Linked DNA regions of Daphnia pulex. The protein of the gene in region 1 purifies or fractionates together with the protein of each later gene. This does not show direct contact. Links are inferred from orthologs where the notes say so. Each region holds a gene or a part of one and is shown on either strand. Other genes may lie near its edges.

The links.
Region 2: the proteins of vesicle-associated membrane protein 2-like (region 1) and vesicle transport through interaction with t-SNAREs homolog 1B-like purify together in Homo sapiens (affinity purification with mass spectrometry; 4 studies listed by BioGRID and IntAct, counting the BioPlex papers as one, with this or other methods). This does not show direct contact. The link is inferred for Daphnia pulex from reciprocal best matches to the Homo sapiens genes VAMP4 and VTI1B.

What each region holds. Positions count from the first base shown.
Region 1 is NC_060027.1:3,967,300-3,983,418, reverse strand, and holds vesicle-associated membrane protein 2-like, read right to left. Parts: upstream 7,659-16,119; 5' UTR 7,530-7,658; coding exon 7,476-7,529; intron 7,356-7,475; coding exon 7,303-7,355; intron 7,244-7,302; coding exon 7,202-7,243; intron 7,142-7,201; coding exon 6,995-7,141; intron 6,933-6,994; coding exon 6,847-6,932; intron 6,782-6,846; coding exon 6,756-6,781; 3' UTR 6,726-6,755; exon of another isoform or gene 6,662-6,725; intron 6,650-6,661; 3' UTR 6,338-6,649; downstream 1-6,337. Other genes in the region: uncharacterized protein LOC124208271, read left to right, coding at 1,514-2,639, 3,332-4,471. UniProt on the Homo sapiens protein: Involved in the pathway that functions to remove an inhibitor (probably synaptotagmin-4) of calcium-triggered exocytosis during the maturation of secretory granules.
Region 2 is NC_060018.1:4,110,697-4,127,224, reverse strand, and holds vesicle transport through interaction with t-SNAREs homolog 1B-like, read right to left. Parts: upstream 7,931-16,528; 5' UTR 7,817-7,930; coding exon 7,593-7,816; intron 7,506-7,592; coding exon 7,043-7,505; 3' UTR 6,933-7,042; downstream 1-6,932. Other genes in the region: homer protein homolog 2-like, read right to left, coding at 1-234, 1,071-1,202, 1,871-2,027, 6,717-6,721; pre-mRNA-splicing factor SPF27-like, read left to right, coding at 11,528-11,632, 11,824-11,916, 11,985-12,157, 12,223-12,333, 12,395-12,560; uncharacterized protein LOC124189006, read right to left, coding at 8,094-8,594, 8,883-9,042, 9,210-9,580, 9,743-9,867, 10,035-10,280, 10,488-10,665, 11,589-11,620, 12,849-12,927 and 10 more. UniProt on the Homo sapiens protein: V-SNARE that mediates vesicle transport pathways through interactions with t-SNAREs on the target membrane. These interactions are proposed to mediate aspects of the specificity of vesicle trafficking and to promote fusion of the lipid bilayers.

The DNA.
Region 1 (16,119 bases):
CTTCTTCTTCTTCTTTTTTTGGTATTTTATTTCATTCTATTTTGTTGCTGCTGTGACCAGCGGGGAAAAAGGAAAGTTTTGGGGGGCCAAACTATCAACCGACGGACAGCAGCACAGCACAGAAAATGTCTAAAACTCTTTGGCCTACAGCAGGAGCTAGCTCCTATATAGACGAGAGAGTAGGCTATATAGCTATATTCCGTCGCCCACCCACATAGTTTCCCATAATGTAAATGTCGAGAGCCTGCAGAAGCAAAAGTCTGCGAGAGAAAAGAAAAGAATCGATTGTTGGAGAGACTTTCTTTTGTTTCTTTTTTCCTGCTGGACTTGCTGCTGCTGCTGGGACTTTCGACTCGAAATAAATGAGAAACATAGATGGAGATAATGGGTGTCGACACCCGTCGCCCCCCCCCCCCCCACCAAACAGGAGCGCTGAATAATTACCCATTGCCATCCGATATTAAGGAGCGCTGGCAGCACACAGTCGCAATATATCCAGTCTACCAAAAAACTTGTCTCCCCATGAACAATCTACCACTCAAGCGAATATACACACACACACACAGAGCAGCAGAGAGCATCGAGCGGCGGCCGTCATTATGCAGAAACAACGTCTCTCCCCCACTTCACGTGGGTGGAAGGAGCAGCTCCTTCTCTGTGTGTGTGTGTGTATCACGATTGCTTCTTTTCTTTTATTCTCTCTCTCTCTTTTATATAAGAAACTGAAAGAAGAGAGTGGAGACACAAGGCTCTTGGAATATAATAAGAGAAAGAGCGTCTTCTTCTTCTTTTTTCTGGTCCTCGTGGGCGCCGGGTCAGATCCTTTTTTTTTTCTTTTCTTCGAAAGTAGGAGCCAGTCTAGGAGCCACACATAGCGGCCTGGTCTACAAACGAAAACGAGTTTGGAAAGAGAATAAAAGTCGAGTGTATACACATACAAGAGAGAGATCTGCTGCTGGGAGAGCGCGAAAATCGATACGTGTGAAGACAGACGAAAAGGAGCCAAGGAGCGACCTCTTGCGGGGCCCGCATCTATGTATGAATGCGTGGCAAGATGGCGCCGTGCGTAATAGATGTGGATATAATACAAGTCGCTCCCATTCACCAACAGCACCACTTCTTTAAAAAAAAAACTCTGCACATTTTCAGATATTTTTGTAAGATTTTGTATTTCGTGTTTCAGGAGCCGCAAGGAGCCAACCGGCCTCCTATTGTGTGTGGGTCGTCTCTATACATACATCGTTCTGTGTATAGGATTTATTGGTTATATAGAATAGAAAAGCCTATGGCTCGAGTAGATGTCGATCGGTTTCGATCCGACCCTTCCATATTCAATAGGAGCCGTACATATAGATAAAAAAGGAGGAGGGGAAGGAATTTCTTTCCATTATATATCCGGGGAAATGCCATCCGGCGTTAAATTCTTTGCGCGGATGTTATTATATAATATCTAAATATTCAATTGTTATTTCTTTTGTCCTGTGTGTTGTGTATTGTGCATCTATTGTAATAGGAATGTGACTTGCTACTACTACATCCGGCAGGCGTGGTCGCCCAAGAACCAGACCATCTTGTTGACTCTGGTGCAAACGGAGCCGGGCCAATCCTTTTCGGTCCGCACGTCGGACGCTGGCGACAAGGAGCGCAAAATGATGAGCGGTCGCGAGTGCCGGACCCGGGTCGACGACACCGTTTCCATCTACAACGGCGCCACCATCGAGTCGCCGCTCCTGGCCAGGCTCTGCGGGACGGGCAACATGCCGCACATCACCGGAGCCGGCGGCGAGCTCCTGGTCGTCTTCCGCAGCCAACCGCACGACGCCCCGTTCAATCCGGCCCCGTTAGGAGCCTCGCCCGGGTTCCGATTAACGACCCGCGTTCGATTCGTGGCCGCCAATCAGGTGCGCCAGTATCATCCCGAGTGCCGGATCTCCATCACCAGCTCGGGATCCAACAGCCGCAGGAGCCAGCGCCAAGGGATCATTCGCAGTCCGGAAGCCACGATGGCTCCTAACACGTCCTGTTTGTACGAATTCACGGGGCGGGAGGATCAGCGGGTCTGGATGACTTTCCTGTCGTACCGGCTGGACGGCGGTGAGGATGGCGACTGTCTGACGCTGACGGACGGCCAGGAGCTGGTGTCCCGTCAGTGCGGAGCCACGGTGCAGCCGCGCATCTGCCCGCACGCTCTGGTCCACGCCAATTCGTCGACGGCCTACAAGCCGTGCCGCTGGCAGGACGGCGAGAGTTACCTGTCCCGCAGCCCGCGCTTCACCATCCGCCAGGAGCTGGCCACCGGAACGGCCATCCGACCGTGGAGTTTCGTCATCCGCTTCGAGTTCATTACCGTCGATCGTTTCAGTCCCAAGGAGCAGCTCGTCAGCAGCAGCGGCCAGGAGCAGCAGGAGTCTCCGGCTCCTAACGGGTCAGGGATGACGACGGGGGTGGCGGACTCGCCGGAAGCGCCGTCCAGCACCGGAGATGAGGACGACCAGCAACTCGCCTGGCAGATGATGACTCCTGATTGCTTCCAGCTCCTGGAGAGCGCCAAAGGAAATGGCAGCGTCTCATCGCCTAGAAATCCTTTGCTCTACGGACGCGGAGGCAGCCGCCACCTACGCTGCCTCTATCGCTTTCAGGTATATTACATTAGATTCCCAGGGCAGCCCAGTCCAGGCCAGCCCAGGCTGGGCCGTGTATTGATTTTGAACCAATTAGTGTGCACTAGCAGCAGCAATGGATGGTGAAAAGGCGATGAACATCCATCAGATGGATGAATCATTTATCTACCGAGAAAGATAAGAAGAAGAAGGAAAAAATATAGAACTTGCTCTCAATGCACCCTCGTCGGCCGGCTGGCCGTCCCCCCACCCTTTCCCCATTTATATCCTATAGGCTATAGACGTGTTCAAGCTCCGGTGGGTTAGAGGGGGGAAACTTTTGCAGCTCCATCCGGTTGTGCCATCGAATGCTGCGGATGTAAAAGCCCATTTCTCTCTCCGCTCCATTGGGGAAACGAGAGATGGAAGCGATGCGACTTCATCTCTATCTTCTATACTATTCGTCAAATAAAAATGGGGGCCGATCTTGCGTTATTGTTGCGTATAACTCTTACCAATAAGCGGCTAAACTCTACACAATTTCCACGTCAAATGGGCCAGCCACTGTCGCTAATCCGATCATCTATATTATTAGTTCAAGTCCGCCATTTTTTAAATTTCCAGCAATTTCAAATTTGGCGCGCTTTGTTTAAACAAGTGTAGAACCAAAAGCTTAAATTATAATTTGTCTAATAATCATTATTCCGGTTGATTGTGTCTTATATAACAAGGCCGGCAAAGGTGAGCACACGCATTTGACCATCAACCCGTTCCACTCGACGGGTTGCGCCCGGTTCAACCAGAGCGGCTGCCAGGCCTGTCTGAGCGTCGACGAGGTCTTCTGGGGCGGTCAGGTGCGCCGTCGCTCCTACCACACGTGCCGCTCGCTGTCCGGCAACAACCCGGTGGTCCTGCAGAGCGCCGCCTCGTCGCTGGAGCTCATCTTCGAGGTGCGCGACATGAACTGGGCCCAGGACGACGACCATTTTTACTTCGTGGCCGAGTACTCGTTCTCGCGCGGAATCGATCCGGCCTGCTGGGACAGCCACCAGCAGACGGGCAAGCGCGGCAGTTTGCGCATCGACCCGCGCGACCGATGCGTCCGCCACTCCATCCCGTGGCACATCCAGGCCCCCCGCGGTGGATACATCATCCTGGTCTTCCCGGCCGGCCAGGCCTCCGTCACCAAGACGGTCGAGGGCTGCCCGACCAACAATCGGCTCTTCGTCTACTCCATCACCGACGGCAAGACTCAACTCTACCGGGAAGTTTGTCTCATGGCCGGCGGACTCCAGCAGACGGGCGGTGACACTAAAACCCAGCAGCAGCAGCAGCCGCTCAATCTCTACTCGGCCGGCTGGTCGGAACGCAATTGGATGGCCGACGGGCTCCTGGTCGTCGCTTCTCTGCAAGGGGTGCCCATTCCGGATGAGACTCCGCTGGTTGTGACTTGGTTGTCCGTCTTCAAGGACGTCAGCAGCAAGTCCATGTCGTTCGCCGCCCGTCAGTCCGTTTACGGAGCCAATGCCAGCAGCAGTCAGATGGTCTGCCGGACGGGTTGTCCAGCACTGGGCGCCTGTTTGAGCTCCGATTTGTGGTGCGACGACCGGGACGACTGCCCGGATGGATCGGATGAACGTCAGTGCATCCGGCTGGTCTTCTGGCCGCTCTACGTCGGACTGGTCGTCATTTTACTGTCGCTGACGGCCGGACTGGTGACCGTCTACCTGGTCCACCGCTACTACCAGGCCCGTCGCTACACGGCCAACGGGCGGACGTACAAACCTCGGCCGAAGGAGACGAAAGCCAAATTCAGTTCCGTAACGGTCAGTCTGACCCGTCACTACGAGAAGGGCGGCCCGGGTTCCTGACATCCGATCACCCAACCCGACACGCCGCACTGGGCCACCGAGACCCTCTGCGTCGACGATTGGGTTACCAGCGTCTGATTTATTTCCTTTTTTCTTCTCTTTTTGATTTGGACAAAATCTCTCAAAACAATTTGTGTTGCGCCGTGTATAATTCAATGTCTTATGTGTGTATAATGCCCCTCCCCGATCGTTTCTCATTTGTGTCTCCAGTTCCAGTATATCCCTGGGATTTCAAAAAAATCGTTTCATCTTTCCTTTTCTCTCTTTTGATCAATTCTATCTTGATTGACATACATAAATCGATACCAGAAAAAATTTTAAAAACTAAAAAACTAAAAAACAAAACAACTGCAAAGTGGTGAGAGCGGACGGGCGACCGATATTTGAACTCGTCTTCCATCACACTTGGTAGCTCACTTTGATGTTCTTCATTGTCTCCTCATATCCAGAAGAAAAGTCTCTAACCTATATGTAAGATAATAATACCTGCCAATGCGAGCGTCATCTTTTGATTCTATATAGTCTCTCCCCTACTGCCTCCCAATCAACCCCCCCGAAAATGATCAAAGTATCACGAACGAAATTGGTTCAATTGCCAATTGAAAAAGAAAAAAAAAGGAAAAATTTTGTTTGTTGTCATTATTGCCATTCTTGATCTCTCTCCGAAAATATTCGAAACATTGAATTTGGTTGTTTATTTCTTTTCTTTAGATCATTTTGAATTGTGTTGAATGACAAATTTAGGCGCGGGTGATATATGTTTCTGAATTTTTATATTGATTGTTGTGTGTGTCGGAGAAAAAACAAACAAACAAACGGGAAGCTTCTGATTGCGGATGAAATTGGCCGTTGAAAATGTCGGGTGCGTTCAGAGCGCGCGCGGTCAAACAAGAAGCCCCGCCCAATAATAAAAAAAAAAGCGAGAAACATTTGATCCCATTGCAATTAGAGCCGTTTGTTGCTGGGTGGAGGGGGCAAATCACACACACACACACTCAGCCAATCTATATAAGTCGCTGCACACGGTTTTCACATCACGCACCGGATTTTTCTATTTTCTTTTTCATTTCTTCCGGCGTGTTATATGCCATCCAGCAGGAGCTCAGCTTGGAAAACGAACTATATATGGAAACAGATGATTATATATCTACCTAACTCTCTAGCTCTATATACACCGCAGCCGTTTCTTATTCTTTTTCTTTCTTCTTCTTCTTATACACCCAAAGGAATTGGGTTTGGACATGCAAGTGTGTGTGTGTGTGTATGTACAGTTCTCTATAACTCTGCTATACATACTATATATGGTCCACGGGACACAATTCCAATTGTGGAGGGGTCTGAGCATCCCCAATGCATGCTTCATGCCTTCCTTCATTCTTATGTTCTTGTTCGTTTTGTTCTTCCACCAAATAAAAACAAACCAACCCAAAGAGATAAAACTACGTCGCGAAAATTACCCTGGTTGTTTTTTTATTTATTTAACTTGAATTCCTCCACCACACACACACACTCCCCTCTCCGCTCTTGCTCTCTCGTTCTTTGCTCATCCACTGGATACGATGTTGTTTCCTTGTTTGAGTTCTTTTTTATATTCAACGTAAAAACTGTGTCGTTCCCCCTGTTTTTATTTTTTAGTTCCCTGTACATACATATGAAAAAAAAAAACTTCCGTACGTGATGATAAAATCAGATTCACTCCGTGTTTTTTTTTTTGTTGAAAAGTTAGGAGAATATAGAACGAATCGGGGAAAAAAAATTTAAGTTTCGTTGAATGATCAGCAGTTCGAGGGAAAATAAAAGAGCTGTGACCGGGTTGGATATGGCGGGGGATGGAATCCAATGAGAGAGAGTGACACGATGTATAAATATATGTGGAATACCATCGGTTCTGTATTCATCAATTGATATATAAACCGTGTAAAAGGTGAAATACAATGGGAAAATGATCAGCCGTTCATCAAAGTGTTTGATACTTTTTTTTTTCATTTTTCTGTGACAGACATTATCAATCTCACTCGATTCCACAAGACAATGTTAAGTGGATTTATAGTAATCAAATATATATTTCAAATTGTCATCCATTCATCTGACTATAGTGTGCAAACCCCACCTTTCAATATTTGAATTTGCGGATTTTGATGGACTCAACTTGTACGCCTAGTAATACCGGTCGACAGGCTTTTTTTTTTAAAATAATCAAAAACAAATTATTATAGCTGTTTTAGAATAGCTCAGTTACAACATATTTCAATACTTGGGGATATCTTGAAAATCTTCTTGCTGATCAATGGTATTTGACTGATAGCCACACTATATTGATTTGGAAAAATGGTTTAGATAAAAGTTGCTATGTTTAAAAATGCAGCACATGATACCTATCATAATTAGCACAACTAGACCGCAGAGTGATCCTAGAATGAGACGAGTTCTCATCTCTTTCCACCACATTGTTTTACGGAGCCTGCATGGTGAGTAAAGATTTTGTTAAATATTGTAGACTAGTTGTTAAAAATAAAAGATTACCTTGAGGAAGCAGTGTGAAATTCATCGGAAGCACTTCTTAAATTTTCTGATCTCTCATTCAGCTCATCCAGCTGGTCACCTCTGGCAAACAGCTTATGCACATTCTCCTTCATAACGTTAGTGACCTCTTCCACCTGGGATTTTACCCTGTCAAAAGAAAAACAATTAGATCAACATGTAATTTGAATTCTCAAGATGTAAGCTTACTCTTTCAGCTTGTTGTTTGAAAATTGTCCTCCATCTTTTTTACTGGAAAAATTCAAATTTGAAATGAAACAAACTAATTTGAAATATTAGAAATAGCTTACTTGAGCACGAAATCTTCATCACTATCATCAGACACATTATCTAGTAGCTGCTCCTGTAAAGGACAAGGATTCTTAGTGTTAGTATTTAAGTTACTCCCACGTAACAACATATAGTTGTAAAGAATATTAAAGCTGACAAGTGAGTTTTTGGTAAAAACACTTTATGACTTTACTCTTTCAAAATCTGCTCCTTCACTCCTGCTTGGTCTAGTTGGTCTTCCAGACATAGCAGATATTAAAATATTTATGAACTTTCTTGAAAATGTGAAAATAGGATCAAACTAACTAGTAACTTTACAATAACTAAAGGAAAACAAAGCTGTCAATTAATTTCATCAAATATCTTCTGCTAAACGCCATCTATTGTCGACGACTACAACTGTGTACACATTCGTCAGCTGGGCTACAAGTAAAAGCAGCAAAAGAATAGCTGTTTGTGATTAATAAGTACTGTTTCATTTTTTAAAAAGAACACATAGCATTTAGCATAGGATCTTCAATAACTCGCTAATTGCCGTAAAAAGACCATTTTTATAAAAACAATTCGATTTTTAGTATATTCATGTGCGAATAGATGGCAAAAGTCTAAATCAGAGTATTTTTGAAACCTGAAGTTTGAATAATGATCAGAAATCTAACTTTAAACAATTAAACAATAATAATTAAAAAAAAAAAAAACATGTATGGGGTTTTTCACTCTGTAGACCAATACTGGCATCGCCAGATCAATGTTAGCTTCATCTAGAGTTCTGAGCCTACGCTTTTTAGGACTCAAAGAACCGCTGTATTCAGTTAACCATGGATTAAGAATTAACCGATTGGCTTACAAGTGTAACGTTGTAAAGCCATTTGAATACCTAGATGTAGGTCTTAGGATTTGAATGCAATACTTCCATGCTAACTTTCTTGCACCTCGTTAGATTCAATGAAATCAATGAAACCAACGATAATCCATTCCATTGACGAGTTATTACCTCATTAATTGCTATTTTACTTAGTTATTTATCGATCGGTGTGAAACAGCTATGTTCACCAGTAGAGTCGAACTCAGGTGTCAAAGTGCTCTTGCGATCACTAAGCCACGCCTTATCCGACTCACACACCCGACCTCCCATTGTTCATATATTAGTTCAGTTAGCCTATAGAGGTTTTTCCATTTGGTTCGTGTAAGTAGAGGGAAAAGTCGTGCGGCTAGTCGACTAGTGCGCACCATGGCGGTGGATAGCCGAAACTTGCTGCAGACTTTGCTTGATCCAAACGATAGTCACCGTAAGGCCATGTACTGTAACCTGTCAGGCTGTCAGCAGCAAAAGTGAAACCTGTTTTTTTTCTTAAGTGTTTAAAATGACAAAAGGTTTTTGTTTCATATGTTCAACTTATGAAAAAAAAAAGAGATCGCCGAAGTTTTTTCAAAGTGCCAGAATGCAACATTAACAGTAATTCAATTGAGAAAGAACTCATTTCACTTTGAAAAAACTTCGGCGATCTCTTTTTTTTTTTTCATAAGTTGAACATATGAAACAAAAACCTTCTGTCATTTTAAACACTTAAGAAAAAAAACAGGTTTCACTTTTGCTGCTGACAGCCTGACAGGTTACAGTACATGGCCTTACGGTGACTATCGTTTGGATCAAGCAAAGTCTGCAGCAAGTTTCGGCTATCCACCGCCATGGTGCGCACTAGTCGACTAGCCGCACGACTTTTCCCTCTACTTACACGAACCAAATGGAAAAACCTCTATTTAACTTTCTTTTCATTTTAGGCACATTTTATTATCTACTTGACTTTCAGATTCATTCTTTAAACGTCGTTATTTCTATCGTTAACATTAATCGTTAACATAAAAAAAAAAAAATTATGTGCTTTGCTCTTCTTTTTTTTACATCGAAAGAAAACAAAAAGTTCGGATGTGACTACTAGATGGCAACTGCAAATTTAGTTAAATATGGCTGGTAGGTGGAGTCATGGGCTCTCACCTCTCAGGACGAAAAATGGAGAAACATGCCGAAACCCGAAAGTAAGCTCAAGCTTGACTAATTCTTTCTATTAAACTATTACAGCGCATTGTTTATCTATAAATGATGTCTATAATGTCTTTAATTAATGTTAATTATGAAGCTGGCAAGCTGCTCAGAATAATTGTTCCTGATCATTCCTTCTATCCTTTTAGGTTCTAGAATCCAGACCTACATTTTGTTGTTTTATTTTGAAGAATGATGGCGAAAATAAAAACAGGTATTGCATTAATCTTCTCCTGTTTCCTAGATATTTGGAGTATTCATTGTTCTGAGTGCTTGTTTGTTTACTGTGTAACTGTGTGAACTAGAGAGGGCAGAGAAAATACTTTTGGGATAGAGATAAAGTGCATTGACCTATTTTGAGAGAACACAAGTTCCCTATAACGAGGCCATAAGAATCAAGTAGGTTTTCTATGTTTGGAACACAATAACATTCTACTTAATCTCCATAAGAACCAGACGTCGGAAAAAGTTACTTACCGCACAGGTTCTCCACTACCAAGCCCGTTTTAACCTCCATTCTCTCTGCCTCTATTATATCAAAGGACTAAAGCATCAGGTATAAATAGAAAATTGTTTAAAATTTCTTTTTGAATCCATCTTAATGAGCTTTTTATTCTTCCGATAGATCTCGAAACACACAGGCGATGAAACACAATAGATGCCCTATGTGGTTCAAGATTTCCATCATGGCCCAAGAATAATTTGCCCGCTTTGATCTACCTTTTGAACCATTCAAGATGAGGAAGAATGTCTCGTTTTTCCGGAAATTTCAGTTCTAATCGTTGAGGGAATATTCGCTTTGTAAATTCGAACCCTCTGTGCATGGCCAGCTGAGAAGAAATGGTGACCAAAGCCGGCAGCATTTGCAAAACGGACAGGGAGGTCGCCACATGTTTTCCCCTATTGCGTATTCGCAAGACAGTGGAAACTCCCAAATTGTCGCACCCCATCAAGATTTCAAATAACATGGTGCTTTTAAAAGGTAATTGTATTTATTTTTAAAATTTATTATACGGCATAGAGTCCCTTTAGAAGTCACCCATCAACGGGGGTCGATTGCTGACGTTAATACTGTCGCAAGTGTCGCATTCATTATGCGTCATAAACATGCAATTTTGCCGAATCGACTGGGTTTGTAGGATTTTCCGAAATGCTTTTTGTCGAATCGGCTGCCATTTTATGATACCTAGTAGAGAATTTTCGTACTGCTTAACGAATTTATTCTGTTGTCTGGTTTATTCTCCCTTTTTTCTGTTGATGCCTGATTGGTGGCTGGTGTACAAAGAGTATTTGTCTCTTAAGAATTGAAATTTTAAATTAAATTGAAAATTTTACATCGAAGTTCCAATTGGCTTAGTGTTTATAAAAAATTTTGAAATTCCCACTTGTGGAATTAAGTTTTCAATAACGTTAATTTTGTGGTCGTGGGCGTGGTGACATAATTTTAGCTTTCCCCATTCAAATTATTTCCTTAACTGCTTCAACATATTTTCCAGCAATTTTATGTAAAGATGGGTTAAATATGTTTGATGTATATAAAATGAAGTACTTTTCCTTTAAAATTAATATTAATGTAGTTATCATAAATAATTAAATGGTTTGTCATGGGGTTAATTAATATGAAAGTGCTAATAATCATATCCTTTTTATTCTTTCCAGGTTCCTGACTGCATCAAATTGTTATTTTTTAGTTGGAGTGGTGAAGAAGAAAGTGCCCCAGCCCTTTTCTGTTGGAACAGTAGCTCTAATGTATCAAGACATCTTGGGTGAAAGTAGGTTCTTTTTGGAAATGTTTTGGGAGTAGTTTTTTTCTGGAATTCTGGGAAAAGTGGGAATGAAAAGTATTTTTTTTTTCTGGAATTCATTGTGGTATTGAATTTCAGTGTTTCCCTGCTTGAGAGTCTGTCAAGTCTTATGAACAGGAATTCTGAGAACATTTTGACTGTAGAAACAATTATTGGAAAGTGTCAATTTTTAAGTTAAGTGCTCATGTGTTTAGTCTACAATATTTTATTTTTCTTTAATTGCATTTCACCTTTATTGTTTCGTAGGTTTTTCCAATGTTGGTTGGTGTCTGAGCTGCAGTCGAAGTTGGTGTCTGATGTGCAGTCGAAGTTCGAAATCTTGGCCAGAATCATAGATTACATGATATGGCCTTGAATGGAGAGATTGCCTTCATTGTCTATCTTGAGCCACGAGAAGTTCAACCAAAGAATTATCCTTATTTGGTAAATGATTTTCGTTTAGACCAATACAGCAAGTGTATTCTGATGTTTCATTATACAAAACTAATTTTGGCAACAAGTTAAGTGGTTTGACGCAACGAAAGAAAACGATGCGGTCAAAGAAAGTTCCATGAGTTTTCTTGCCGGGAATACGGAATATGACATGGAAATAAATCGAGTAAGGTAATCGAGTAGTTACGAAAAATTTTATTCAAACATGCAAAGAATACAGTTAATGCTTAAACGATTGAAGAGGAAAGTAAGCAGACCAAAAACATTTTAAATTAGCCTCTTCCTGTTACGATTGTTTAGAAATGTGTTTTAATTTTGGTTGTTTGTGTTGTCGTCTGCTTTAGGATCATCATGGAAGAGACTGTCAGCTTTTTCTCGGAGATGCGAAGCCTTTTCTTCTATCAAAAACCCAGAGTGCTCCAGTAATTGGATCCAACTCTTTGGAGGTACTCTAGTTAATACTCCATGTTTGACAAACCATTCCTCTAAAGTTTCATTAATTCCAACCGGATCTTCTTTATGTTCCGGTTTTGACAAATCAGATGGTGCTTCTTCTTTCGCATGTCTTACAGCTTGTTGTAATGTCTTCAGAGCTTCTGTCAGTGCTGCAGCTTGTTCAGTGGCAAGCGCTTCAGCTTGTTGTCGGGCAGTGGCTGCAGAATTTACCACTTCATTTTTCTCATCGGTCAATTTCAATAGCAGTTCCTTTTGAATGTGGTACTCTTCCGTCAAAGTTTTGATATCTTCTTTGCACGAGACTAAAGCGGATTTTTCTTCATCGAAGTTGGATTTTAGCTGATCATATTGCGCTTTCTGGTTCATCAATTCGGTGTTTGCCTGTTCCAAAAGTCGATTCTTATCTTCCGTTTCCGTTTGAGCAGCTTTAACTGCATCCGTCAATGCAGATTTTTCGAGTTCGATAGTGGATTTTTGATTATTGAAGTGCGCTTTAAATCTCGTGAACTCGGTTTGCATTTCATCCAAAAGTTTGCTCTTTACTTCTTTTTCCGTTTTAGCGAGGTTAATCTCATCCACTAAAGCTGATTTTTCTTCATCGAAGTTGGATTTTAGCTGATCGTATTGCGCTTTCTGGTTCATCAATTCGGTGTTTGCCTGTTCCAAAAGTCGATTCTTGTCTTCCGTTTCCGTTTGAGCAGCTTTAACTGCATCCGTCAATGCAGATTTTTCGAGTTCGATAGTGGATTTTTGATTATTGAAGTGCGCTTTTAAGCTCATCAACTGAGTTTGCGTTTCATCCAAAAGTTTGCTTTGTTTTTCTTTTTCCGTTTTAGCGAGGTTAATCTCATCCACTAAAGCTGATTTTTCTTCATCGAAGTTGGATTTTAGCTGATCATATTGCGCTTTCTGGTTCATCAATTCGGTGTTTGCCTGTTCCAAAAGTCGATTCTTATCTTCCGTTTCCGTTTGAGCAGCTTTAACTGCATCCGTCAATGCAGATTTTTCGAGTTTGATAGTGGATTTTTGATTATTGAAGTGCGCTTTAAATCTCGTGAACTCGGTTTGCATTTCATCCAAAAGTTTGCTCTTTACTTCTTTTTCCGTTTTAGCGAGGTTAATCTCATCCACTAAAGCTGATTTTTCTTCATCGAAGTTGGATTTTAGCTGATCATATTGCGCTTTCTGGTTCATCAATTCGGTGTTTGCCTGTTCCAAAAGTCGATTCTTGTCTTCCGTTTCCGTTTGAGCAGCTTTAACTGCATCCGTCAATGCAGATTTTTCGAGTTCGATAGTGGATTTTTGATTATTGAAGTGCGCTTTTAAGCTCATCAACTGAGTTTGCGTTTCATCCAAAAGTTTGCTATTTTTTTCTTTTTCCGTTTTAGCGAGGTTAATCTCATCCACTAAAGCTGATTTTTCTTCATCGAAGTTGGATTTTAGCTGATCATATTGCGCTTTCTGGTTCATCAATTCGGTGTTTGCCTGTTCCAAAAGTCGATTCTTGTCTTCCCTTTCCGTTTGAGCAGCTTTAACTGCATCCGCCAATGCAGTCTTTTCGAGTTCGATAGTGGATTTTTGATTATTGAAGTGCGCTTTAAATCTCGTGAACTCGGTTTGCGTTTCATCCAAAAGTTTGCTTTGTTTTTCTTTTTCTTCATCGAAGTTGGATTTTAGCTGATCATATTGCGCTTTCTGGTTCATCAATTCGGTGTTTGCCTGTTCCAAAAGTCGATTCTTGTCTTCCGTTTCCGTTTGAGCAGCTTTAACTGCATCCGCCAATGCAGTCTTTTCGAGTTCGATAGTGGATTTTTGATTATTGAAGTGCGCTTTAAATCTCGTGAACTCGGTTTGCGTTTCATCCAAAAGTTTGCTTTGTTTTTCTTTTTCTTCATCGAAGTTGGATTTTAGCTGATCATATTGCGCTTTCTGGTTCATCAATTCGGTGTTTGCCTGTTCCAAAAGTCGATTCTTGTCTTCCGTTTCCGTTTGAGCAGCTTTGACTGCATCCGTCAATGCAGATTTTTCGAGTTCGATAGTGGATTTTTGATTATTGAAGTGCGCTTTTAAGCTCATCAACTGAGTTTGCGTTTCATCCAAAAGTTTGCTTTGTTTTTCTTTTTCCGTTTTAGCGAGGTTAATCTCATCCACTAAAGCTGATTTTTCTTCATCGAAGTTGGATTTTAGCTGATCATATTGCGCTTTCTGGTTCATCAATTCGGTGTTTGCCTGTTCCAAAAGTCGATTCTTGTCTTCCCTTTCCGTTTGAGCAGCTTTAACTGCATCCGTCAATGCAGATTTTTCGAGTTCGATAGTGGATTTTTGATTATTGAAGTGCGCTTTTAAGCTCGTCAACTCGGTTTGCGTTTCATCCAAAAGTTTGCTTTGTTTTTCTTTTTCTTCATCGAAGTTGGATTTTAGCTGATCATATTGCGCTTTCTGGTTCATCAATTCGGTGTTTGCCTGTTCCAAAAGTCGATTCTTGTCTTCCGTTTCCGTTTGAGCAGCTTTGACTGCATCCGTCAATGCAGATTTTTCGAGTTCGATAGTGGATTTTTGATTATTGAAGTGCGCTTTTAAGCTCATCAACTGAGTTTGCGTTTCATCCAAAAGTTTGCTTTGTTTTTCTTTTTCCGTTTTAGCGAGGTTAATCTCATCCACTAAAGCTGATTTTTCTTCATCGAAGTTGGATTTTAGCTGATCATATTGCGCTTTCTGGTTCATCAATTCGGTGTTTGCCTGTTCCAAAAGTCGATTCTTGTCTTCCCTTTCCGTTTGAGCAGCTTTAACTGCATCCGTCAATGCAGATTTTTCGAGTTCGATAGTGGATTTTTGATTATTGAAGTGCGCTTTTAAGCTCGTCAACTCGGTTTGCGTTTCATCCAAAAGTTTGCTTTGTTTTTCTTTTTCTTCATCGAAGTTGGATTTTAGCTGATCATATTGCGCTTTCTGGTTCATCAATTCGGTGTTTGCCTGTTCCAGAAGTCGATTCTTGTCTTCCGTTTCCGTTTGAGCAGCTTTGACTGCATCCGTCAATGCAGATTTTTCGAGTTCGATAGTGGATTTTTGATTATTGAAGTGCGCTTTTAAGCTCATCAACTGAGTTTGCGTTTCATCCAAAAGTTTGCTTTGTTTTTCTTTTTCCGTTTTAGCGAGGTTAATCTCATCCACTAAAGCTGATTTTTCTTCATCGAAGTTGGATTTTAGCTGATCATATTGCGCTTTCTGGTTCATCAATTCGGTGTTTGCCTGTTCCAAAAGTCGATTATTGTCTTCCGTTTCCGTTTGAGCAGCTTTAACTGCATCCGTCAATGCAGATTTTTCGAGTTCGATAGTGGATTTTTGATCATTGAAGTGCGCTTTAAATCTCGTGAACTCGGTTTGCGTTTCATCCAAAAGTTTGCTTTGTTTTTCTTTTTCTTCATCGAAGTTGGATTTTAGCTGATCATATTGCGCTTTCTGGTTCATCAATTCGGTGTTTGCCTGTTCCAAAAGTCGATTCTTGTCTTCCGTTTCCGTTTGAGCAGCTTTGACTGCATCCGTCAATGCAGATTTTTCGAGTTCGATAGTGGATTTTTGATTATTGAAGTGCGCTTTTAAGCTCATCAACTGAGTTTGCGTTTCATCCAAAAGTTTGCTTTGTTTTTCTTTTTCCGTTTTAGCGAGGTTAATCTCATCCACTAAAGCTGATTTTTCTTCATCGAAGTTGGATTTTAGCTTATCATATTGCGCTTTCTGGTTCATCAATTCGGTGTTTGCCTGTTCCAAAAGTCGATTCTTGTCTTCCGTTTCCGTTTGAGCAGCTTTGACTGCATCCGTCAATGCAGATTTTTCGAGTTCGATAGTGGATTTTTGATCATTGAAGTGCGCTTTTAAGCTCGTCAACTCGGTTTGCGTTTCATCCAAAAGTTTGCTTTGTTTTTCTTTTTCTTCATCGAAGTTGGATTTTAGCTGATCATATTGCGCTTTCTGGTTCATCAATTCGGTGTTTGCCTGTTCCAAAAGTCGATTCTTGTCTTCCGTTTCCGTTTGAGCAGCTTTAACTGCATCCGTCAATGCAGATTTTTCGAGTTCGATAGTGGATTTTTGATTATTGAAGTGCG
Region 2 (16,528 bases), on another chromosome or scaffold:
ATCGTCGTTAGTAAAGGCGGTAGGAGTGGCTCCACTGCCCAGTCCCACAGTGGCCATGGCCGAGCGGCTGTTGACGGGCGAGGCATTGGCGCTGGCCGAGGTCGAGTTGGTCATACTAGTCGGCGCCGCTGGTGTCGGCGTCGAGCCGTTGGTAGCGCTGGTAGACGACTTGCCCGGCGACGTGCCGCTGATGTTCTTCGTCGCTTCCTTCACTTCTTGGAATTTCTCAATGAACTATTTCAATCAACAAAATATTTCCAAAAGTTTGAAAAAAATAATAATAATCATGCGTCATTCATTCGGATAGCTCAACACATATATTAAGGCATCAAAACATATTAGGAAGTATTTTTATAAATTCTAAAAAAAAGGGATTATTATTTTAGATTCTATTTTAATCGGCCGTACGTATGGGGGGAAAAAAAATTCGTGATCTTATGAACCTAGTCCTCGCGGGATCGTGGACGATATTTGAAGCGCATGGCGACGCCTGGAGGACGCCAGACACGATCGATCAGCACTCGAATACGAGTAGAGCAGAGAGAAAGTAGTCTACCTCGCTTTTTCTTCTCTTTCTTCCTGCCTCTATTTTTCTTTTTTAAATATCCGTAGCAGCATGAATGCCAAGTTTTCGACAGGAGGCGAGGGAAAAGGGGCAACGAGAAAATGCATCAAAGAAAGGGAGTCAGTCCCTCATAAACAATTCAATGCCTGCATTTTGACTGGCACTTTATGTTATAGACCTATTCACTGAAATTGTTTGCATTTATATTTCTTTATACTTTTTTTTGTTTTATTTTATTCATTTTTGTTTCTTTCTAAGTTTGCGTGGGCGTCACCGTCGGGGACGATTTGCATCCATCCTCGACTTACGGCTATTAGTAGCCCGGGGATGGCGACCAAAGAGATGGAGAAAGTTACGACAGCTCAACTTAGAAAAAAAAGGAGTGAACAGATCTTGAGAAAAAAGAGAGGAAACGAGTTAAAAGAAAAAGTTACTCGTAATGTTTTCCTTTTTGAAAGAGAATCTGAAAGAAAAAGAAGCCATGTCCTTAAAAATAATTGCTTACCTTGTTGAGTTCGGCTTCTGAAGGGAATCCGAGTCCGTAGACGGTGTTGGCCCGGACGTCCGACCACTGGCCAAACTTCTGTGACGTTTTCGTAAACGTCATGTTGGGTGTGATGGTGCTATTGATCACAGCCTGAGAATAAACGAGAGAGCAAACATGTTTCTCGTTAATTGATGTTGCAACGAGAGAGGGAAATCTACAATTTTTGGACGAGTGACTAGCGTAGTTAAGGGTAGTGTAGTAATGCGTCCGATAACGATGGCTCATCCAGCGCCCAATCCAAGCCAAGATCAAGAGCTGAGCCATTTAAGAGTCGGCTGACAATCGATCCGTAAACCCTTTCAGTTCCCATTAACAGCTCAAACCGTGTTCTTCAAACCGTGATGCATCCATCCATCTAACCCGCAGCTGAAAATGGGGAAGAAAGAAAGAAAAAAACGGCCCAACTTTTCTAGGGCACCAGAGATGACGCAAAATCAATAGACACAAAACCCTGAAAGATGAAGAGGGAGAAAGAATAAAAAAACAAACAAAAAAGGGATCGACATACTAAGTCGTGTCGAAAAGAATCGGGAACAAGGAAAGGCACTCTAAGCCTGAACGCCGGTAGGACGACGGCGCCAACTTGTTGACGTTCAACAACTTGTGCTTGGCTTTTTTCTCCGTAGGGCAGCAGAAGAAGCATTGCCCTTTTGAGTATTTATTACCAGCCGGTTCACGTTAAAGACAGGTGAGCATGGCATTTGAAAAAGTGGAGAAAAAGAAACTTTGAATCTTGAATGGAGAAGAGTGTTGCTTACTTTAGTGCCTTCGACGCTGATGATTCGGTACAGGGATCGTGTCGAGTCGTAGAAAAAGGAGACGTTGATGGCGGACGACGAGGCCGGGATCCACGAACGTTTCGTCTTCGGGTCGATGTGGAACACGTGAGCCTTGCACGTGAAAATTGGCTGTTCCCTAACGGACAGCAAAAGAAACGATTAAGCTAAAGAAATTGGATTTGCAAACTACTATAAACAAGACATTCGGCTCGATTCTCTAGGGTACGCTTTCTTTATTCTGTGGCAAGTCTCTTAAAGTCTAAGGCGAAAATGATCAATTCGAGAGGGTAAAAGCAAATAGGATTATATCGATTTTTGAGCGTACACAAAAGGAATATAGTGCCAGAGAAAGGGAGTACAGAAAGGGACAAAAAATGCGGGCAGATGTTCACTCTTTCTTTCTCCTCTTCTTCTTCTTTTTCTGCTCAAGCTATCTAACCACCGTGCGCACATGCGGGCACGTTCGCCCCATTTCAGCACGACAAAGTCCCAAGATGGACGGGGTCGTTGGGCTGCTGTTGGTTAGAACGGAGAAGGATCGGGGGCCATACAGACTGCGTACACTGGAGCAGGCCGCAAATAACTTGATATCACGAAAGGACCTTCCAGCGTCACTGAATAGAAACAGTTGGGAAGAAAACGTAGCGCGCGCGAGAGAGAGAGGGTGCGCCGAGCGGATCGATATGTCATTTCTCTATTGGATTACAATTGGGCTGGCTGGCGGCCTAGTCTTTGAGCCAAGTCCAACTGGATAAAATTAACGAGCCGCATGGAAACTTCAGGGCGTCAAAGAACTCATTATTGTTTACGCTAGAATCAATATGGCGCACTCTTCGCAACGGAATGCATTCCAGCGATGGCGCAGGCCCACATAAATAAATGAACGAGGAGCAAAAAGTATACGCGTATAAGGATTCAGAACCAACATTCTTGTCCAGCTCAGTTGCCCGCTCTTGCAACGACGATCAGGTCGGGCGGATAAAGGCCAGGGCTTCGTAAAATCACGTAAAATATTGTTTGAAGCAACTTTTCTTCAAGTAAGCCGGCAGACTAAACGGCGAACAGCTCACAAAAACCCCAACATTCCAAGCGTTAAAAATGCAGAGCGTCACGAGATTTCTTCGGAAATGTCACGTACACAATTTCTATCATGGCATTTCGGGCAATATGCGGGGGGAGAAAAAAGTCAATTAATGCGGAACCCACGGAGGGAGAGATAATGAGCCATCCCAGTAAGATAACACGAACGCTGATAATTTGAATTCGTGAAACGGGCGGAAACGGGATGGATCCGACGCACTTACAAGCCAGCCACTACCAAATGTAACAGTTTCAAACTCATTAGGGGTGAGGTGGAATGCATTCGACGAGTAGAGGCGTGGCGCGATGGGATAAGGAAAAAAGTAAACTGTGACCACCACGACTACTATACACCCAGACAAACTTGTGATTAAAGCAAAACGATTCGTACGCATCGTGTGTGTGTGATGAAGGGCCACACAACTCAATCACTTTTGGCGCCTTGATTATGACGTGCGGTTGGGAGTGGGGGGCCATAATCAGCCAACCCCTCCTCCTGCTTACCCACCGTTCTCCCTGAGCTCTGTTCTCTGGGCAAACAGTTCCAACCGACCAAAAGTGAGATAGAGATAGAGAGAGAGAGAGAGAAGCAACGAATCAATACCTCTCGACACGAAAAGGAAGCTAGAGAAACCAACAAAACAACCTTGCTGTTGCTGGTTTTGATCCATTCTACCTATCCAGAGAAATTCTATTCACACACACAGGGATTAGAGTGGGAGAGATACACTTCAATATAGGCTGGGACGGTAGACGCAAACTGGATACTAGTCTATATAACATACTTATATGAGCGCGATAAATATTCACTGAAAATGACACATCCTGCAGAGGCAATATGGCGTACATAATAACAGCGGGGGGCAATGAATTCTGAAGGCGACAAAATAAAAATCTCGTAGCTGACATTGCCGGAATATAAAAGAGGTAGTCGCACGACATGGCAACGAACAAATACAAGAACGACGCCATTCGACTCCCCGGCTGTCTGTCCACAATGTAAAATGACGCTAGACGAAATAGAAGCGAAGAAAGAAAAATTCAACGTTATCCGTTATAATAATAATAATAAAAAAAGTGTCGTCATTCCTTCAAGGGGCTAGGACGACAGGCTCAACGTATACAATATAAATCGGATTGGGACCTAATACGATTTCTTGTTTCCCGCCAGTCCCTCACTATTTTCTCTCTGTGTAACTCGCAGATTCAAACGTCATCGAGACCAACTGTGGACATCAATCTGGCTTTCTACTTTCCTATCTTTTGGGGCTTAGTTTCGACCGTGTTCAATACACTCTTGTCAGGGGAAGTATGCAGCAGCTGTTGGTCTGACTTCCAGGAGGAGTTCCTCGGTGTGTTATCGAATCCATACGACGGCGATTGTTCGATAGACCATTGGGTGCGAGATCCATCGATACGAGATGAAGTCTAACAGGATTGAGCCTGATCGCAATCGAGTAGATAGGATCAAAGAAGCCGAATTCCAGTTGAACGATCAAGACACCATTACCTATCCATTCATGTAATGGGTTTACAGTTCACAGAACACAATAGAGTAAAAAAGAAAAAAAGAACAGGAGATCGTGCAAATAACCAAGGAAAATTCGTTGAACTAAAACAACTTTTTCTTCTGTTTGGTAATGTTGAGCTTCTATAGCTCTAGTTCATGTAGGATATCTGTAAATATTACTAGGTGACTTGTGAGGATAAATAGAGCACTGAGTAATAAAGTCATTAGCCGCTCGAAAATCCCGAGAGAGTCAGCGAGAGAAGAAACACGGAGAGAACGTCGCCTTGGTGAACGCAGCCCAATCATGGCAGGCACTCATTAGCCATCCATGGCAACCTCATAAAATCTTAGGATTAACAATAAGATTTCGGGAACTATAGATCGAATGGCGAGGACCTAAAGGCTTAAAGAGACACGTCTGATTGAGGTATCATCGAGATTCATCCTTAAGATTAGACAAGGGTTGTCGACGTGATTCCATCTTTTCACTGGCGCCTTGCAAATAGCTCGCCCTCTCCAAAAGAGACAGACACGACATGGCATCATATCCGGGAACTGCTTTCTTGGCCCTGACACAGGCGCACAACCAAGATGCAATCCCCCCCCCCCCCTAAACCTCGGCAACCGCTTCCTACGCCTTAAATATTTGAGCAAGCTGAAAGAATATTGAACTTAAGCCACAGTTTTTACGAATTCAACTAGTTCCCGACTGCGGAACAGATTGAAAAAATAAAGTTCCAATGGGATAGTCTCCGGGTCGAAATCCTCACACAAATTCGGGCGATTAGAGTTCAATGATAAGTGTACGGGTTATTCAGTCACGAAAAGAGTGTCGAAACGAAATTGCCGAATCGACAGATTTGTCGATACGGCATGCACAGTCACGCGTGCTAAATGGTGATGGAGTGTGCCACAACCGAGGAGGATGCCAAGTTACAGAAAGAAAAAAGGAAATGAAACATTAAAAGTTTCCGGCTAGATCTAGCAATCCCGTCATTGCGACTCTGGCACGCACACGTAAACACGGGCAAGTATACAAGCGATTTTTTTTCCCCATTGCAAACACACACACATACACAAAAACGGAAATAAACAAATACCCCCATCCCCTCGCAAACCAACTCTTATGGAAGATTGAATAAATATACTTTGATGCCATTCATTTTTGATGAGATGAGCCTGTTTTCAACCGATTGTTATCCGAAGGATGATTTTAGTTATTTTTTTTTCCCCTGCCTTTTTTTAAATTAATTTTTACTTTATTTTAAAGTAAAGGTGGGGCTTCTCAGACGGGTTTATATCTAGCGTCCAACCTAGGAGACGCCGGCGATAGAAGCCTCCAAAAGAAGCAGTGAAATGAAATGAAACTCGACACGCGATATCTTACGTTGTAGTGAGCAAACGAAAAAAAAGGAGAATACTGTAGGTACGGATGAAAGTTAACATGACGAGAATAGCATTAACTAATAAATACCATGAAAAATAAGGGAAAGGGTTCGAAGTAGCCATCTAGGAATTAGACACAGGACACGCAGCATCGATTTCTTACAACTGAATACACAAAGTCCACAAATTTCTATTTCCCATTATCATTGTTGAATGTTTGTGCTTTTGGAATTGTCTGAATGGGGCTTGCATGTTTCAAAGTAAATCAATATTGTGTGACTAAAATCCCACTAACAGTGGGCCTAGCATCCTAGCAATATCAAGAGTTTTCTGGCTGGATGAAATATTACTTTGATGTATCACCTAAAGCAACAATCTATTGCTTGAGTTGAGAATAACATTTCGCAACAATCCTTCTGGGCTGTAGCTAGAGGCACAAGTCATTCAGCTTCGAAGTTTAGCTCAATACAACTTTAGAATTTAGTACAGGTTGAAAACTTGGATGCAGCTTAGCTTATTAGTTTGAAAATATGAATGCTATATTTACAGCCAAGATATTAATAAAATCTTTTTTAACATTTGAATGACGGGACACTTCAGTGAGTCTGTGACTTCAATATTGATTTACACTTTAGCTTAATGGTATTTATACACCCTAATGGAAAATTCTTATTTGTCTAATTCCATAGTCCAAAATACAAATATTTGAAACATATACCCTTTTAATTACAGTAAATTTGAATTCAGACTTGACAGTGGTGCTCAGCATCCAGCTGTTGCTACGTGGATATATGGTACGAATCGATTTTTCATTTAAGACTATACAGAATCAATAAATGCACAACTTACCCCATTTTAACTGTCGATGTCGAAGCACGAACAACTTAGAAAAATCTCAGATTTCGTTGGCAAACGCAAAAACTTTAAATACACGTATAGCACGCCATGACACAGGAAGAGCTTCTGTCAAATGGAACTGAAAGCCAGAGGTTGGGTTCGTAACTCCGTCTGCGTACGAAGGCCGCTAGGAAATCCTTTGCGCACGCAAGGGGAAAAAAATACTGGTCGCTATGCGCATGATTATATTTTTGTATCGGCTTTTACACAAATTCAAGGCACTAACACTATTAGTTACATTTTTGATGAGGTATGTTAAGAATTTGAGGACAATAATTTCAAGAAAAAAATTTATAATAAACTAAACCTGTCAAAATGCATATCTCCAACAGAATGATGACAATTAGGACAAGCTTATTAGTCATAGCAACACGAGACATTGACTTAAGGATTCTTCTACTTCTTCCCAGCTCTGCATCCGTTTCAGTCAATCTATCTCTTGTACGAACAAGCACTTCTCTTTGTTGACTTAATTCTTGAATAACTCCAGTGCCAATCTCTTCACTTTCTAAAGCAACCTGAGTAGTTCTGTAGAGGCTCTGTGATGTTCTTTCCAGAACTGCAGTTCCTTGGCGAACAGTTGTTTGAAGAGCATTATCAATGCCCCGGTTTTGGCTAAATGCAGCAGTGGATTGGTTTTCCAACAGTTTTCCTCTTGATGAGGCCAGAGACATTTCTGATTGCTTGGAAGAATTGATCAATAGAGCAAGTTTGGAACAGGTGTCCTGATGTCTTCGTACTCTGAAGTTGGATGATAAAAAAAACATTAGTTGAAATTTTACTACATGTATTGTTTGCTGTGTAAACTTAAGACATTCACATTTTTACCTGCCAATCATGTCCATCCTAAAAGAGCCAGGAGCTGCTCTAGCTTCAGCTTCCATTTCAAATATTGCTTGTTTAGCTTCATCTAGTCCTCTTTCGACATCGGCAATAACTTGCTTTTTTTCTTCGCCAAAACATTGTTCTAGCTTACCGGAACACTTTCTTTGCAGAATTTCGAACAAAACTTGTACATCTTCATCCAGAGTTTCAAATTTCTCTGAGCTCATTTCTGTTTCTTGTAGCACAATTCTGAACCTATTTGAGCACTACATACGATACCTTGCTATCAGGACGAAGACAAGGAATGTATTGTAGACTTGACGTATAAAACACCATCTGACAAAACATTGAAGACAGCGCCACAAACGGCGAGAATTAGCATTTCCATGACATTTACATTTAATAGCTAATTATTAAGATAAATTAAACACATTTCAGCCTGCAGAAGGTTTATTCAGATGTCACAGAAAAAACGTCATACAGGCACAGGTTCAATGATGTCACTCATTCCTTCTTATTTTTCTTCCCCTTTGCTTTCTTGGCTTTCGATCCCTTATCAGCAGCTGATTCGGGAACAGAAGCTTCTTCTAATGGGATAGCTTCAACGGGAGCAGCAAGAACCTTTTCCAACGGCTTCACTTCCGGGACAGCAATCGGTGTTGGGGCAGGAACGACTGGTGGCGATTTTCCTTTTACAGGAGTAGCGACTGGTGTTACCACCTTAACTACAGGTTCAGGGATGGTAACGATTGGCGGAGATGGTTCCTTAGCTGGAGCTAGGGCAGTCTTCACCTCAACAACGGACGCGGGTGTTACATCCATCGGTTCTACTTGCAAATCCTTTGCAGCCGTCTTGGATTTCTTGCTTTTCTTTGTTTCTGGTGGTGTTGGCTTAGGGGTTTCAACAGGAGGAGGTTGAGTTGGTTTGACATCTTGGACCGGTGCTTGAACGGGCGCTTCTTCTTTCGGCTTTTCAACAGGTAAATTTGGTACGGGTACTACTGACTGTAGAATGGATATACAAATTAGAACTTGGACTATTTTCCAAATCAGATTCTCACTACGATGGACAACTCACCAAAAACATCTGTTGATTAGCTCAATAAACCATGCTGTGTGCGCTCACTCGCAGGCTAGGCAGCTACCTTCTTGGTAGCACTCGCCTGTACATGTTAAACAATGTGGCATGCATTAAGTTACGTTCACATGCGGTAATACAATTTTAACAATTCAAACAGAAATCAAACGAAAAACTATCTAAGACATACAAACATTCACAGAAAACAAAATTACCTCGCGCTTCTTCTCGAGCAAAGCAGTCTTGCTCTTCTTCCGGGCCTCAGCAACAGCAGCGGCAGACTTCTTAATCACGGCGGAGTACGGGTTCAACTTCATCAATGCTCTCATGTTGGTAAGAGGATTGCGCTTAACAGATGCACGACGGATCATCTTCCTGTAATTTAAATTGTATCGATTAGTCATCTTTGCACCAGACAGTATCACTTGAATGATAAACTGCGTTCAGATTAATTTGCTAATCACAAAGATTCATAACCCAATGCTCTAAATGTGGTTTTCATCATTAATTAATCAATAATAAAGATTAAAAAGAAAGCTTGCCTTGGTCGTCTGATAACCTTCTGGATTTCATCAGACTTCAACAAACGAGACAAATCTGTTCCGGTCATGATGGGCTGAGGCAAGTTGTAGTTGCTCTTCAGCTTAGACTTCTGACGCCAAGTACCGTAGAGGGCGTTCAAGCGTTGGAAAGCAGACTCGGTCCAGATGCAGAAACGGCCAACATGACCACCAGGAGCAAGCTTCATGAGGTTCAGTTTGTTTACTGAAATCATAGAAACTCCGGGGATGTTACGGAAAGCCTTGGTCAAACCCTGATCTCTGCCATAGATGACCAGTGGACCCAATTTGCTGGTACGGCGACGGTTGCGCATCTTACCCTTACCTGCGCGGAAACGCCTGGTCTTGTAAACCTGTAAGAAATCAGATTAATTAGACGGTGTTCACACATAAAATCATTCATGACTCAGATTTTGTTCAGAGCTCTAAGGTGAAATCATTTACTCATAAACACAGACCAAGAAGCAACTCATCATTTTCCCGTGATAATTATACATAAATATCTAGAAACAAACCTTCTGGACATCAGTCCATGCGCGAAGACGGCGCAACAACACGACGGCCTGTTTGGTTTTTTTGTATTCTTGAACCTTGTCCGACACAACCAAAGGCATCTCCGGGACATCATTGATCAAGTGACCTGAATGTAAAAACATTTTAGTTCTAATTCAATATGACCTTATTTACTACTATCATTGTATGGATCAGGGACTCATGGTATGACTTCATGCTTGTCAGAAACACAGGAAACACATATTCATCATGCTAGTATGGAACCGTGCAATGATGATCTTGGCTCATATTTACCTTTGGACATCACCAAAGACGGAATACCCGAAGCAGCGACGGCCGAGCACAATGCAAAACGTTTCTGGTTAACGTTGATCTTGCGATGCCAACGGCGCCAGATCTTGGTGGGGGCAAACATACGTCCACCACGACACATGTTACCATAGGCACCCTGACCGGAGCGATGGGTACCACCTCCTCGGACACGGGGAATACGAGCCACAGCACGACCAGTACCCCATGATTCAGCACTTGTCTGATGACCTGTAATAGGAAAGAAGAAGATTAACAATCACACCATTACATGTGTGTATGAAGTTTGTCCGGTTGCCCAACCCCTCACTTTAAGAAAACAAAGCGAGAAAGGCCTCAGGGACTCGCTTTAGTGTTGCACACTGCACAAGAAGAGTCTGACGTACAATTACTCCTACATTTCAATGCTGTGTGCCATATAATTGGCATACAAGTTACCTGCTTTCTCGCTGACACAATAAGGGTGACGACGATTCATTGACATTTGTTGTTGAACAAAGCTGACAATGTCTGGCCTAATGGGAGCCCTGAAGATTGCAGGGAGCTGGATGCTGGTTCCAGAGGCCTCAGCCTTCTCATTGTAAACGGTAATCAACGGCCTCGCGACCACCTTACTCTGTAAAACAAAATGGATAAACAAATTAGATTTAAGATTTTCAAGAGACAACACTTGAATTTACACAAACTTTGAACTAGATGTACCAATTAACCAAAACATAACAATAAACCAAGAACGACGTTGAATTAACATAGAAAAACAGCAAGAGCCCATTTGACACGAGGACGAAACCACGCTGTGGGTAACATTTTACTCCCAAACTTTCGCCATAGATTAACAAGAAAATGGCTTAGAAAAATATACGCACGCAAGAATTTTCTTAAAACACGTTTCTCCCGTTAACCTTTTTACTTACTATTCGTAAATTAATGTATGTAAAAACTAGTAAAATGTTTGGAGAACCTCATGCTTACCATCTTGGTAGATAGTCCTGACCGGGTAAAAAGGCGAATGAAAGAGACCCACAGTAATGGCGACAAAGAGGAAGTCTACAATGTTGCCGGCATACTTTGAGAATTGCCGCCCTCTACGTTCCGTTTTTTACTTGATTATTTACTTGAAAAATTACAGATTATTCACTGAACTGATCCACTGTTTAATAACAAAAATTATGGAGTTTCAATTGATGATTTCAAACATTTTAATGGAGTGATTAGTTATAAAATTTTTAATATTGTTTTATTTGTTTCACAATGCAACGGTGTCCAAAATATTATTGAATAAAATTTAATATACCAATTTATTTTCATATTTTATTCATTTAAAGGAAGTTAATGATCTTTATTCATTATCAAAAAGTAAGTTTATGAATAATTAGACATAATGAAAATCAATTACTAAAACTGTGGCTCATATTTATTAATCCAGCAGAAAATCTGACAATCTTGCTGACAACAGACAGTTTGACACAAATCACAAAATGCCGATTCCGTCAACAAACATTTCCACGCCGAACGAAAGGATTTTGGTTGACGATTTACCATACGTTGACCAAGAATATGGAGATCCAACTCTACGAGAAGCGGTAAGCAAAACTTATACATTGCAAACTTTGAAATATTTGAATCGCTTCGAATTGAGGCTTGGAGATTCTTGTGTTAGCCTAGTCATCTCTAACATCAATACATTATTGTACTAGACCATAGTACTGTATGTTGCTGAGAACTCTCGCTCTTGTCCAATAGTTGTTTAATGAGAGTAATTTCTTTCTATCAGGCACTTGCATTGGTTGATGAAGAGACACGAAGATATAGACCAACCAAAAACTACCTAGAACATCTTCCTCCACTTGAGCTGTCAGCATTTGAAGTAAGAACTGTCTGCATGGAAGTAATGATAGGAGTGTGTAATAATTATGGAAATTATCATGTTCATAGACTCCTTTGATGAAGACTGAATTTGAGCGACTGTCTCAAAAGAAACCAATGGATGTTTTGAGCATGAAACGATATGAACTCCCACCCCCATCTGCTGGTCGTCTAAATGATCTTCAAGCATGGATAGAGTGTGTTGATAATTCAATGGCTCAATTAGAACATCAAACAACAAGGTTTGTTTTCTAAAAAAAAATTTTACAGCAACCATAAATTTAAAAAAATTTCAATTAAAAAACAGGATTTTGAACTTGGAATTAATGTCAGAGTATGGTTGTGAATCATGGAGAATTTATAACACTGTATTGTCCCAGATGATCCAACAATCTCAGAAGCATCTTCAGGAATTTAAGTATGATTTCAGTAAAGTAGACACCATATTGCAAAATACACTATTATATTTTTCTTTACAGGAAACAAATCCAAGATGTCAATTGGGCTAGAAAAAAAGATCAGACAGAGGTTGGAGACAAAATGAAACATTTGGAAGCCACTTGGTTTGGTTTGATCACTAAAAACTACGAAATCGAACTCGCGTGTGCTGAAATTGAGAGACAGTTAGCTTCACTTAATGAATGAAATTCAATGTAAACCTACTTTATCGAATTCGGATAATACACTGCAACAGGAAATTGATTCATCCGAGATTTTCAGTAAGTGACAACCAAAAAGATTTGGTTGTAAGGGAACAAAACAAAAAAATAGTATAAAGTCATGCACTTTCAGATTAGCTTGTCTTATAAATGGTAAGTAGCACGTTCTGATTTTATATATCACACAATTGAAAACGAGAAGAAGCGTATGAGTACAGCAAAGCGTAATTCAGAGAAGGGTAAAAAAAAGGGTAAGATCATAGGGAAGTCTCACTTGGGGCTGAACTTAAAGGTAAAGGGCGGACGGAAGACTCATCTTCCAGCACCATAACTCGTTGCTTTAGGACGCGAACCTGATAATCACATGACATTTTTATGTCGGTCACACTTGATAACTCGTAATTTTTCTCTATATACCTGCATTGCATGTCTTTCCGACATGTTGACCATTTGCTGCTCTAGTCTTTTTAATCGAGATTGGTACTTTTTCTTAGTCCTCTCAAGAAGTTGGACCAACGTCCTGAAAATTAGTTTACGGATATTACATATTTGTTGAAAACGTAACATATTGTAAGTTAAGCATTTAAAGATATCTTACGCGTTGGCTTTCTTGACATCGCTAACTAGTTCAGCCGACTGCTGACTACGGATTTCTGCACTTGAAGTGACGCGTTCAAGGGCTCCCGTCAACTCTTGGATTTTCAATTGGAGTCGCTTTTCTCGAACTGTTAATTCGTCTCCATCAGCTCCTTCAATTGAGGACAGAGGCTTTTCGCCTGATGCATCTGTGTTAGATCCCTATCAGTGAAAAGTGCGTTTAAGTAACCTAAATCATTCTCCATTTCAATATCCAAAAAACCTACGCCTGTGTTAAGACTTCGAAGTTGAGCGGCAGTTGCTTGTTGTTGGGCTTCATGAGTAGCCCGCTCTTTTTCAAGAATATAAACCTGAGTTCGAAGTCGTGAACGTTCTTCTCTCATGGCCATCAATTCCTAGAGAAACGATAGGATTAAATCTATTTTTACTCATTTATACAAAAGCAGATGTTCACCTGCATGATGACGGCCATCTCTAGATCAATTTTCCGAGCTTCAGCCAAAGGTAAGACTTCTTTAGGCAAAGGATCAACCAAAACTGACTCCAGGGGAAGCGAAACTTGTTGAACTGTGTTTTCCAAGCTTGATCTATCACCTACAAAAGATAATGAGAAAATGATTAAGTAATTTGCTTAAGTAAGCCTGGGCACAAAATATGTTACCTTTCAACCGGCCGATTATATCTCGTACTTTCCTTTCTGTGGGCTCCAGAGTACAAGCTGGATTGGATCCCGATCCTGAACCACTCTCCGCTCCACTTGAGGTAGAGCTTGTTGTACTACAAGATAGACGAGAAACAAATGGAATAAGAAAATTATAAGTCCTGAAGACCGACAATTTTTTTATTTTTTGAAGTACTTTGTGTGTCTTCCCGTGTCCTCCCAATTGTCTCGTTCACGATCGTATTTTGACAAGAGGGATCGAGCAAGATTCTCAGCCGAACGCCTGCGCTCTGTAGCGCGTTTCCAAAGCACACTAAGATCTTTACTATTGCCACCTGATTCCGTTTCCCAAGCGGTTCCACTACGGCCAGTCAACCCTAGTCCTGCCACTTGGCAGTTGGCCAATAGAAGAGACATTTCGCTTTCTACTAAGGCAGCTAGAACTTCAAATGCTTCTGAAACTCTATCGGCTCTTTCAAGTGCCATGCGTAACGCCATGCAATTTGATTCGTATTTGCCTGCATGAATAAACAAAAATAAAAAATAGAAAAATCTATTTCAGCATTTCTTTTATCGAATATGAATACCGAGCAGCACTGCGAGACGTTCGCCCAAAGCTCGAGACTCGGCAAGTGTCATCGAAAGCACGTCATTTTGAGCTCGCAAATGCTCAGAGCGGCTAGCCAACCGTTCCACTTCCAGCTCCAATTCATTGACACGTACAGACTCGGCTCCGGATGCGTGATGTGCCTCGCCTTGAACAGAATCTTGGTGAACGGAGCAAACCAACTGCTCAGCCACTCGAGCATCGCGTATCTAGAAATTATAAACAATAAAGACAAAGGCTTTACGTAATGGAGAGAGAGAACCACGTAAAGCTTCGAAACAAACAAAAAAAATATGATAAAGGCGGAAACTCTTTTAAGGGTGCAAAGTTATAGCCTTCATGGAAGCGGATTGTCTATCTTTTAAGGGAAGAAACTTATGATAAACTTTGTGCGATAGTTGAAAGGTAAACAGGTCCAAAGAAAAGCCTCGTGAATTAAGAATAGAGAAAAAATGTTGTTGGCTTCCAATACTGGACATGGCCTCTGGCAGACAAACAATGGGAGTGCCTGTGACTTTCGCACTAAAGAAGATTACGAAATGGCAAGATCCGGAATGTGGGCAGTCTCGAACTCGAAGCAGTGGGCTTTCTCCTTATTCTCACCTGAATTTACTGACACATCAATCACAAACACAGACAGAGATGTCTTACCCCAAAACTGGCGATTTGAGATCCGGTCAAGAGTTTTTCCCGGCCGTCTAGTCGTCTAATGCGCACCCGTTCAGCAACCTTGCAAACTGGACCTTCTTCCACAACAACGGGACTGGATACGCGACTTGATACCAACCGCTGGTGGATGGGGCTGCCTTGGAGGCTAGAGAGAGCTCCCATACTCGCTGCCGCCGAAAGAGGTAGAGGCCGAGGTTGTTGGCTCATTTCCAGCTGTCGCCTTAGTTCATCACGCTCCATGCGCAGGGCGTCCACAATTCCGTGAGCCTGGTTCAAATCTTGGCCGAGTCGTAGAATTTCCACTTTCAGTTCTTTGTTTTCTGAGCTGAAAGCGGTCAAAGGATCAGCGATCGGAGCGGAAGCTTCTTTGGCAGCGGAAGAAAGGAATTGATCAAGATTCTCTCCGGCCTGAACTGCTTTCGCGTCAAGATCATCTTCGCCCGCCTGGTTCGCTTCACCTGCTGGCCCGGCGCCATCTTCATCTGCATGAAAGAATGCGAATATTATAGGAGAGTACAAAGAAACACGCTCGTTCGTCGTCACGTCAGGCACTTCTTGTTAAATGTGTCATTTCTTCTACTTGATTGTTTGACAACTCGCCAAGTGCCTCTTCCGAAGAAGTGTAACACTGAATCACTAATCAGCGACATTTAAGCTGTTGCCCAGATCCAATCTCGCTTTCATTGCGGGCGATCTTCATTTGATCTCAAATTAAGCATTCTTGGCCAGAACTACAGGACTTAATTGTGGCGTTGATTGCGGAATTCAGACATCTGAAAGGCGGAATCTTATTGGTTACTAGTGCCAAGTCTCATCCCCCCCTCCACCCCCGCCGACAGTTTTTACAGAGTAGACGAAACCCCCTTTCATGTTTCGATCAATAAGTCATTTCTAAGACTAGCTCTTCATTATGTTATGATCCATACCGGAAGAGCTGGCACCAAAAGAGAGGTCGCTACTGCAGCTGCTGGATGCAGCAGCTTCTGGTTCTTCTTCAGTTACATCTTGTCCATCCCTGAGCAAGCTATAGCCAACTTCTTCTGCCCGCTTGTTCCGATTAGTTGCCTCAGGCTTGACATCAGTCGGGCGTTCGACAGAGCCTTTGACTTCTGGATCGGACCTTTTCATTTTACTTTCCTCCTCGCCGTCATTGTCGACGTCATCATCTTCCTCTGCTTCTTCTTCATCTTCGTCGTCTTCCGTTTCCTCTTCTTCTCCTTCTTCCTTGATGACGCTGTAATTCAACAACGGAACAAATGATTGATGACATCTCAGCAGAAAATACCATTCTTCTTACTTGTACTGCTGTCGGTTTAATTTCCGCGTCAGCTCGGCGATAACGCTGTGCAATTCCGTCAGCCTTTCTTCGTACTGCGTCGATTGACGTTCCAACCGTTCCTCGCTCTCCTGCACCAATCGC